Linked DNA regions of Macaca mulatta. The protein of the gene in region 1 purifies or fractionates together with the protein of each later gene. This does not show direct contact. Links are inferred from orthologs where the notes say so. Each region holds a gene or a part of one and is shown on either strand. Other genes may lie near its edges.

Region 1 (5,180 bases):
GGAAGGGCAAAGGGGGGTTGGAGGTGGAGTTAAGGAAGTAGCCGAGATACTGGGGGAGGCCAGCGGGGGCTGTGAACCTGGAGGGGTTGCTACTAAGTGTTTGGGGTCCTGCAGTAAACTGGTTTGAAGCAAGAGGGGTATGGTTAGACCTCAAGAAAGGGCCAGATGTGTGGCAAAATATATTGATGTGGAGGTCGGGGTGGGAAGGGGTCTCACAAAAGGATATTTACTTCTTCAAGAGGCGGCTGGAGGCTCATCCCATTAGCCAAGGTGGCTACAAAATTCTAGGAGAGAGTAACAGGGAGAAAGGATTAGCTACTGGGAGTGGCTGCGGGAGGGCTGGGCGCGGGGACCTGGGCTCTGGCGGGGTGGGGGGGGGTGGGGGGGGTGGGGTTTCCAGCAATTCTCCTTCTTGGCGGGGAGTGGTGGCAAAGAGGGCAAGTAATGAGGTGGGGTGTTTAAGAAAGGGATGGGAAAAGTGAGGGGAGAAGAAAGGGGGTCTCCTATCCCAGCTGTGGCTGGAGAGATGGTGGCCTGCCCCCTTGTTGCCCCTCTCTGGCCAGGCAGCTGACCACACACCTCCCCCATCCAGGCCAGGGGAACTGGCACCCACCCCCGCCAGCTGTCGCTCCCTCTCATCACCTAATCTCCCCCAGATTAGGTGACACTTCCTGACACACACACCCCTATCCCAGGGTGCCATGAATAGCAGGAGGGAACGAGGCTGGCAGGGTATGCCCACAGGGCATCTGCCACCTCTGCAAACCAGTCTCATGTCTGAGAGGATTCCAGAATAGAGGTGTGGCACACGGGCACTTCCCCAGAGCTAGTACCCCAGCCCCCAGCTCCTGCCTTGGACTCAGGAGCCCCAAACAAAACCAGCTGGAACCAACCCGCTCCCTTATGACCCTCTGCCCACGAAGGTAGGGTCCCATGGAGGATGGGCAGCTCCTGGACCCTCTTAAGAATGAGCGGGCTCCAGAAAGTGGCTTGGGGGCGCGGTGGCTCACACCTGTAATCCCAGCAGTTTGGGAGGCAGAGGCGGGTGGGTCACCTTAGGTCAGGAGTTTGAGACCGGCCTGACCAACATGGTGAATCCCCATCTCTACTAAAAATACAAAAATTAGCTGGGCCTGGTGGCGGGTGCCTGTCATCCCAGCTATTCAAGAGGCTGAGGCAGGAGAATCGCTTGAACCCAGGAAGCGGAGGTTGCAATGAGCCGAGATCAAGCCATTGCACTCCAGCCTTGGTGACAGATTAAGACTCCGTCTCAAAAAAAAAAAAAAAAAAAAAAAAAAAAAGTAGCTTGGGGAGTCAGCCCATCGCCCCCATTTCAGACACCCATCCCAGGTCCTGAAGACTTCCAGGTGCGGCCAAGCCTGAGGCCACCTCTGGGAAAGTTATTTCCTCCGCCCACAGAGCCCCAGGTGCAGGAGACAGCCAAGAGGGTGCGAAGTCATTACAGTGACCCCTGGGAGCTGCATCCTGACAGCTTACAGCTGACCTGCCCCCCCAGTCAATGCCATGGGTAAAGGGGTGGAAGGACAGAGGCCCCATCAGATTACATCTCTTCCAGATGTGACCACTCCAAGAAGGGCCACGTCACTGGCCATGACCTACTAGGCTCCAAACACCCTCCCCCCAGCTCTCCCAAGCCAGCGGGGATGCCTATAAGAAAGGTGCTGCGGGGGTTTCCCGCTGGGGCCCATTTATCACCACCACTGAAAACTACTGCCAGACAACCCCAGCCCGAAGGCTTAAAACGCAAGACTGAAACCTCCCCCACATGGCTGCACGAGAACCAAACCTCACTTGAAACCATTTCAGGCACCCACCCTCAGGACCCCGGGGCTCAGGACCCCTACACAGGGCTTCAGGAAGGGGGAGGTCATCTCCCGCCCTCACAAAGGCCCAGGAGAGAGAAAGCGCTCCAGCAGAGGGTAAAGCTCTCAGCCTACGTATTTCCCACAACTCCTTCCCAGCGGACGTACCCTCCTCCCTCCGCCCTCCAGGAAGAAATCCGACGGGAGGTGGGCTTCAGGACACGCCCCATGAAAAAGATGTCCCTCCCACACACCCAGAAATGGCCACAAGGGGGTGCACGGCGCCTATTAGTGGGAAAATCTCCATCTAGATGCCCCACCACCACCCAGAGGGAGGTCACAGGGGCATGCCCCATCCCCCAACACCTAAAGCCCTGGGTGAGGGGGAGAACTCTAGGAGGGGAAATGGGGTCAGGGGGGCCCCATTCTTGGTTTTCCTCCAGTCCCTAATCCAGAACGCACAAATCCAGGGCCGATATCCCAATAGATGCCCCTGGAGCTCGGAAGGAGGTTGTAAAAGGCACTGCTCCTCCCAAAAGACACTCTACATCGTGGAGGGCCCCAGGTCGATCCCACCCCACGACGTGTGCCCGGGTCCCTGGGTAGGAGGGCTGGGGGCCTCAGGAGGGTCGGACCCCCTCCCCGCCCCCCCGGGCGCCCCTCCCCGGCCGGGGGCGGGGCCTTTGTCCCGCACGTGGAGCCCGCCGGGCCACCGGACTCGGCACACCCCCTCCCCACCCACCGCGCCGCGGCCACGTGGGGGCCTGGCCGGAAGCGCCCCCAGCCCTCCTCCACGTGGGAGGGGGGATAAGACCCTCCGCTAGGCCGGATGCCGAAGGCCCTTGAAAGCTAGGGAGCCGTCACCTCAAACGATATCCCCGGATGTGGAGCGTGCGGCGCCCCCGTGTGCGGCGGGGGACCTCCAACCCCATGTCGCCAACTTAGAGCCCTTTCCCCACCACAGAGGCGTGAAACATCGACCCAAAGCCGACCCCCGCCCACGGCGGCGCTCCAAGCGCTCACCTCCATGATGCAGTTCGCGGCCTCGGCTGCCGCCATCTTCACCCGCAACTACTCCTCCTCCAGCCGCCAAGACCCCCCCTTTCTCCTCACTCCCCCGGGACCGCCTTATACCAGAGGGTCCACGGCCCGCCTACCGCGACCCCGCTGGAAGATTTCATTGGCAATGGAGGCGGCCCGTCTGAGAATACCGTCTGATAATTGGCTGGAGAATACGTCCATCATAGGTCAGGGGTTTGCCAACACTGGCGTCCAGAATCCCGCCCCCTCAAGTCGACCCGAGATGGGGAAAACTGCCCGTCTATTGCAAGAAGCGCGACTGGTGATTGGGCAAAATCCACGAGGAATGCCCGCCCCTTTACCCCCAGCACCGCCTCAAAGCTTCCCGGGGAGCCCCGCGCTAAAGGGGCGTCTTGAAACAACTGTCCATCACCAAAACGACCCGCCTCTTAATCGCTGCCATTGGTTTATCCGGAAGTGACGTCACGCGGCCTTTCACCCTCGCCAAGCGGCCAGTCTCAAGGAGAACACGACAATTGGCCCACGGGTGGGGAAGAAGGCGGGGCTTCAGGCACCAACGATTGGCTCAAAGGAACGATCACGCCTAGTCCACTCGGTGGATCCTCCCAACCCGGGGGGAGTCTCGAGGAAAAAGGGAGCTTGTGCTCATTACCTGGGAGAAAAACTGAATCAGTGAGAGGCCCAGAGAGAGGAATGGCATCGCTGGGGTCCCCAAGCAAGTGAGGAATAGGAGTCCGCAGTCAACACATTAAATCCCTAGCCTTTGACATAATCATTCAAAGTTTTTAAAACCCATCAACCCCTCTCAAGGTACTTGGTTTTTGCCGAGTCCCTCCCCCTGCCAGGACCGCCCACCTCTCTTTGTCTTGTCAGCTTCTAAACGAGAATCAGAGCGCAGCTTAGGCACCACTTCCTCCGGGAAGCTTTGCTTGATTTGCAGGAAAAGTTCCTAGTTGAATGAGGCTGAATGCAAAGGGCCGAATGCGTGGGTCCTGCCCCTCCTCTCTCTGATCCCTCTGCTTCCCTCCGCTCACACTCCTCTCCAATCCCGGAATGAGCTCGCTCTTTGGTTTCTGGGCCTCGGTGCAGGCTATACTCTCTGGCGTGCCGCTGGCAAACGCCTGAGACTTAAAAATTTCCGATAGGATTCGGGCGCAGTGGCTCACGCCTGTAATCCCAGCACTTTGGGAGGCGGAGGCGGGCGGATCACTTGAAGTCAGGAGTTCGACACCAGTCTGGCCAACATGGTGAAACGCCCATTTCTATTAAAAATACAAAAATTGGCCGGGCGCGGTGGCTCAAGCCCGTAATCCCAGCACTTTGGGAGGCCGAGACGGGCGGATCACGAGGTCAGGAGATCGAGACCATCCTGGCTAGCACGGTGAAACCCCGTCTCTACTAAAAAAAAATACAAAAAACTAGCCGGGCGAGGTGGCGGGCGCCTGTAGTCCCAGCTACTCGGGAGGCTGAGGCAGGAGAATGGCATAAACCTGGGAGGCGGAGCTTGCAGTGAGCTGAGATCCGGCCACTGCACTCCAGCCTGGGCCACACAGCGAGACTCCGTCTCAAAAAAAAAAAAAAAAAAAAAAAAAAAAAATTTGGCCGGGCGGCCGGGCGCGGTGTCTTATGCCTGTAATTCCAGCACTTTGGGAGGCCGAGGCAGGCGGATCACAAGGTCAGGAGATCGAGACCATCCTGGCTAACATGGTGAAACCCCGTCTCTACTAAAAATACAAAACATTAGCCGGGCGTGGCGGCGTGCTCCTGTAGTCCCAGCTACTCGGGAGGCTGAGGCAGGAGGATGGCTTGAACCTAGGAGGTGGAGCTTGCAGTGAGCCGAGATCGCGCCACTGCACTCTAGCCGGGGCGACAGACTCTTGTCTCAAAAAAAAGAAAAAAAATTAGGCCGGGCGCGATGACTCACGCCTGTAATCTCAGCACTTTGGGAGGCCTAGGTGGACGGATCACAAGGTGAGGAGTTCGAGACCAGCCTGGCCAATATGGTGAAACCCCGTCTCTACTAAAAAAACGAAAATTAGCCGGGCGTGGTGGCGGGCGCCTGTAGTCCCAGCTGCTTGGGAAGCTGAGGCAGTAGAATCACTTGAACCCGGGAGGCAGAGGTTGCAGTGAGCCGAGATCGCCCCACTGCACTCCAGCCTAGGAGACAGAGAGAGACTCCATCTCAAAAAATAATAAAATAAATAAAAATTTAAAAATTAGCTAGGACTGGTGGCGCACGCCTGTAATCCCAACTACTTGGGAGGCTGAGACAGGAGAATCGCGTGAGCTCAGGAGGCAGAGGTTGCAGTGAGCCAG
Region 2 (5,180 bases), about 17 Mb from region 1:
TGGATAATGTCAGTTTTTGCAAGCATAATCAAATTCCCCAAACCTGTTACATGTTTAACTCATGTTGCTTAAGAAAAAGCAGCTGGGTACAGTGGCTCATGCCTGTAATCCCAGCATTTTAGGAGGCCGAGGCAGGGGGATCACTTGTGGTCAAGAATTCAAGACTAGCCTGGCCAATATGGTGAAAGCCTGTCTCAACTAAAAAATACAAAAATTAGCCAGGCGTGATGGCACGCACCAGTAATCCCAGCTACTCAGGAGGCTGAGGCAGGAGAATTGCTTGAACTTGGGAGGTAGAGGTTACAGGGAGCCAGGATTGTGCCACTGCACTGTGGCCTGGGCAACACAGTGAGACTCCATCTCAAAAAAAAAAAAAAAAAAAAGCATATAATGATGTGGAATGAAATATCAAAGGCATGAATACAAACGTAAATTCAATGATTAAAAATTTTTTTTCACTGCTATATTCAAATATTTATCAAGTCATGACACGAAGAACAAATTTGTATTTTATGTCATATGAATTTAACTATTACAGACTAATGAAATACTGACTCCAAAAGCTGCTGAAAAGTTTTTAAAATGTGGGTTGTTAAAATGTAGACTTTTGGGGTTCCTGCATAAAAGGATATGTTCATAGTTTTTAAAAAATAACAAAAATACTCTAAAAATTTTCAAATGTATGTTTTTTTTCTTTGTGAGGAATAAAGGTAACACAGCCAACTTATTGAGTCACTAAGCTGGCAAAACACCTTTCAATTCAGATTAGGTAAAGCAATACTTTAAAAAATGTATTAAACCACTTTAATGAGAAATTATTTTCAACCCATATCTGGCTCTCACCCAGCACTTTTCATAATTTCATAAAGACAGGCTTTTTTTTTTTATAATTGCATAAAGCCAGAAAAACACTATACAGCTAAATAACTATTATATAAAAAATATAAAAATAAATTCAAAATAAGGCCAAGCAAAAACTAAGTTACTTAAGAAACATCACTGGGAAAGTCTTAAACACCAAATACCATCATGCATCCTATAGTGGATTTCTAAAAAGACACTGAAGCGCTAAGTCTACAGGTGTTTTTATGAGGTAATGTGTCATAATACAATGTTTCACAAGGTAAAGAGGGAAATGTGGGGGTACTCCCTGGTTTTTCATACTACTTTTAAAATTAGACTTGGTGATTTAAAAAAGTGTATAATTCAATGATCTTCAGCAAATTTGCAGAGCTGTGAAACTATCACCATCTTGTACTACTCCTTTATGGTGTACAGTTCTAAAACATCAAAAGGTTCCCTACTCAGGTATAAGATTTGTCCCAACGCCAGGGCTAGTAAAAAGATTTACCTTAGGCTGGGTGCGGTGGCTCACGCCTGTAATCCCAGCACTTTGGGAGGCTGAGGCGGGTGGATCACCGGAGGTCAGGAGTTCGAGACCAGCCTGGCCAACATGATGAAACCCTGTCTCTACTAAAAATACCAAATTAGCCGGGCGTGGTGGCGGGCCCCTATAATCCCAGGTACTTGGGATGCTGAGGCAGGAGAATCACTTGAACCCGGGAGGCGGAGATTGCAGTGAGCTGAGATTATGCCATTGCATGATCTAAAGAGCTAAACTCCATCTCAGAAAAATAAATAAATAAAGGATTTACCAGAGCATCCAACAAGTATTATTAAATACTTGATCCCGTGAAACCACTTCCCTATCAGTTAACGATTTTTAAAAGTTTACAGATTTCAAAAATCTTCTTTATCCTTGGACCAAACCTACCCAGAGAGTCCCTAACCATGCTATGCAGCTCCCACCTCTACCAGAAGTGCTGGGAAAATCACCTAGGTTATCTAGCTTCCCCCAAAGTATTTTACACTGTTGTGAGATTTCCTTTAAGATTCAGGAGCTAGTTTATTTACTTTCTGGTTTCCTGGCAGAGCAAAGGCCCTGCACGTGTGAACGGAAACAAAACCCACACAGACTCTAGCGATGCCAAATATTAATACTATGGGTAGGGGCACCTTCTTTCTCGGCCGAATTCCTTTTCCCAGAGAGCCTCCAGAGGGATCAGTCAACGCCCACTGAGCCTGGATCAAAGGTCAAGCTTGCCTGGTCAAGAAGGATCCTGGATCAAGCTTGAACCCGTTTCCAGAAACAGGGCAGTCGGGGCAGCAGCAAGCATTTTTACCACGCGCCCTAATGAGATGGTTGCACAACAGGCTTTGAGGATTCCGGTTTAACAGGTAAATACCAACAGAGAATGAGCCGAGGGAGATGGGATCTGCTCCACGGCATCGATGGCATTTCGAGAATGTCTGCGTCGCAGAGCAAACCCAAAGTTTTAGCACATTACTCAGAGTTCACCAGAGGAAGATTGCCACGAATTGAAATGAACAAAGTGAGAAAATGGGTGCTGTGTAGTCAATGCATCCGCGATGAACTCAAGCTGGGCGGAAAAATTCTTTGAATACTCCGGCTTTGTTTTGTGCTAAGACGACAGAAGCCCCGAATTTCGGAGTTGGAAGACGCGTTTCTCCGTGTTCTCCAGCCCGTTCTCGGACTTCAGGGCCGCCCGCCCGCCGCGCACTCAGTCCCGTAGTTCCCTGGGCTTCAGGCGCGGACCTTCCAGGGGGGCGGAAGCCAGGGAGCCGCGGGGAGGCCGCGGTCCGGCCCGCGACGCCGGGGCCCGGAGAAGGGAGGGGAGAGGGGAAAGGCCTGCCGGAGCTCGACGGAGGGAGGGAAGGGAACGAGGAGGCCACGGGCCGGAGCGGGGAGCAGCCCCGAGCGGCGCCCGGCCCGGCCCCCACCCCGAGGCCCGGTCCCGCGTACCTTTGGCAAGGGCTACGGTGGAGTTTTCGGTGTCGATGGTGTAGAGGATGCCCTCGTAGCGGATCTCCGCCTTGGAGATGAGGCTGATCTTGCTGCCGATGTAAGGGGTGCCCCCGCTCATGGCGCCGCCGCCGCCGCTCCCGGCTGCTCGCAGAGAGGCAGATCCCACGCCGCTGTCGCCCGCTCCGCACGCCCGCTAGCTCCGTCGACACCTACAGCAGCCGCTTCAGACCCAACATGGCGGCGGCGCCGGGTCCGCTACCCTCCCCCAGCCTCCCGCCCTCAAGCCGCGGCGCGGCGGCGGCGGCAGCGGCAGCGGCGGCGGCGCGGGGCATGCTGGGAGGGCTAGGCCGCGCTGTCGCGAGACTTGGCCGACGGCTGGCGGCTCTCGGTTCCTGGCTCCCGGCTCCTTCGCGGCCTCGGGAGTCCCGGCAGCGCCTATTGGCTTGGGCTACGGCGGTGGTCCTGGGGCCGCGTGAGAGGAACTTCGGGGACCGGCTGAGTGCCTCGTGGCACCGCTTGCTGCGGGCTGGAGAGGAGGCGCGCGGCCCTCCTTTTGACTCAGGCCTTGGCCGCCTTGTCTTGGGTCCTGTGTCTTTGCCGACGCGGGGCCCTCCGCCTGGAGCGCTGCCCACCCGCCTCCGAGTTGTGGCGAGCCGCTGCTCATCCTTTTAAGACACTGAACCTGCACCTCGTGGAGCTCCTACGGCTCTATTACCGCAGCCATCGTCCAGGGAGCTTCCCCCGAGGCTGCCCCTGGAGCTGGGGCTCTCCCGACGGCTCAGTGTTTTAGTCCCTTCCTGTCCCTCTCATTCAGCCGGTCTGAACTAGCTTCATGGCTTGCAACGCCATTGTAACTCACCAATCCCAATTATCAGTCTGTAGCTTGGATCAATTCCGTGAACTCGGGTTTCGCGCCTAGCCTCTGTCCAATCTCCAACGTTAAGGGTCCAAAGCCATGCTCCCTATTTCCCCTCTAACCTGCTCCTTCACCACCGTTCCCTGTTGATGTAACCGGTACCATTTTTACTCAGCTGCTCAGACTAAAAGCCTTGAGTCAGTCTTGACCTCTGTCTTGCTTCCACATCTGTTCTGACTACACCTCTCCGTTATATCTACACAATGTATCCTAAATCTGACCTCTTCTCCTCATCTCCATCCCTACACCTCTCCCACAAACCACGATTACTCGGGCTGAATTATTGCAGTAGCCTTCTAAAAGTTGCCTCTGTGTCAACCCTTGCCCCCAGTACTTTATTCTCAACACAGCAGCTAGAGAGATCTTGTTAAAATCTAACTCAGGGCTGGGCGCGGTGGCTCACGCCTGTAATCCCAGTACTTTGGAAGCCCGAGGCGGGCGGATCACAGGTCAGGAGTTGGAGACCAGCCTGGCCAACATGGTGAAACCCCGTCTCTACTAAAAATACAAAAAAATTAGCCGGGCATGGTGGCGCGCACCTATAGTCCCAGCTACTTGGGAGGCTGAGGCAGGAGAATTGCTTGAACCCAGGAGGCGGAGGTTGTGGTGAGCCGAGATTGTGCCACTGCACTCCAGTCTGGGCTACAGAACGAGACTCTGTCTCAAAAAAAAAAAAAAAAAGAAAAAAAAATATATAACTCTGATCATGTTCTATCTCTACTCACTCTACTGATCCCATGTTACACAGAGAGAAAACCAGACTTTGGCTTCTAAGGATATACATGAATTAGCTTCTCGTTCTATTCCAGTCACGTCTAATTCAACCGGTACTTGAGCACTTTATTCCAGTATCTGCTCAAGTATCACCTCCAGATATGACGTCTCTGACAACCTTGTTTAAAATAATACCACTCACATCACTCTACATCTCCTTAACTCAGCTTGCATTTTCTTTATAGCATGTATCTCTCTCAAGTATGTCTGTTTAATTATTTGTGTCTGTCTGCTTCACTAGAATGTAAACATTTTGAGAGAGAGAGATGTTGTTTTGGTCGCTGCTGTATCATCAGGGCCTAGTACAGCACCTGGCTCCGGGCAGCTGCTCAGTTAATATTTGCTGCATGAATGAACAGCAGGATGAAGGCAGAGCACAGGCAGGATGGTAGTGAGCTGAGTGAGCAAATGGCGAGAAGTCTGGCATCATAAGAGAGGGACGCAGGAGAGAGACAGAGCTCTGATGGTGCTGGTGCACAGTGGCTACAAAGAAAGGTTTGGAAATCCCTGTTTCAGTACAAGGTCCGTGCGAGGAAGTTGAATTGTTTGTTTTTGTTTTTTTGAGACAGTCTCACTCTCACCTGGGATAGAGTGCAGTGGTGCCATCTGGTTGCTCACTGCAACTTCCACCTCCTGGGTTCATGCCATTCTCCTGCCTCAGCC

Evidence for each region. The genes of interacting proteins can lie anywhere in the genome.
Region 2: the proteins of PRMT1 (region 1) and LSM14A purify together in Homo sapiens (affinity purification with mass spectrometry; 3 studies listed by BioGRID and IntAct, with this or other methods). This does not show direct contact. The link is inferred for Macaca mulatta from reciprocal best matches to the Homo sapiens genes PRMT1 and LSM14A.

Annotation. Positions count from the first base shown.
Region 1 is NC_133424.1:62,128,604-62,133,783, reverse strand, and holds the start of PRMT1 (protein arginine N-methyltransferase 1), read right to left. Parts: upstream 2,897-5,180; 5' UTR 2,883-2,896; coding exon 2,847-2,882; intron 285-2,846; coding exon 231-284; exon of another isoform or gene 227-230; intron 17-226; exon of another isoform or gene 1-16. UniProt on the Homo sapiens protein: Arginine methyltransferase that methylates (mono and asymmetric dimethylation) the guanidino nitrogens of arginyl residues present in proteins such as ESR1, histone H2, H3 and H4, FMR1, ILF3, HNRNPA1, HNRNPD, NFATC2IP, SUPT5H, TAF15, EWS, HABP4, SERBP1, RBM15, FOXO1, CHTOP, MAP3K5/ASK1, MICU1 and NPRL2.
Region 2 is NC_133424.1:45,493,496-45,498,675, reverse strand, and holds the start of LSM14A (protein LSM14 homolog A), read right to left. Parts: upstream 2,976-5,180; 5' UTR 2,946-2,975; coding exon 2,825-2,945; exon of another isoform or gene 2,100-2,824; intron 360-2,099; exon of another isoform or gene 1-359. UniProt on the Homo sapiens protein: Essential for formation of P-bodies, cytoplasmic structures that provide storage sites for translationally inactive mRNAs and protect them from degradation. Acts as a repressor of mRNA translation. May play a role in mitotic spindle assembly.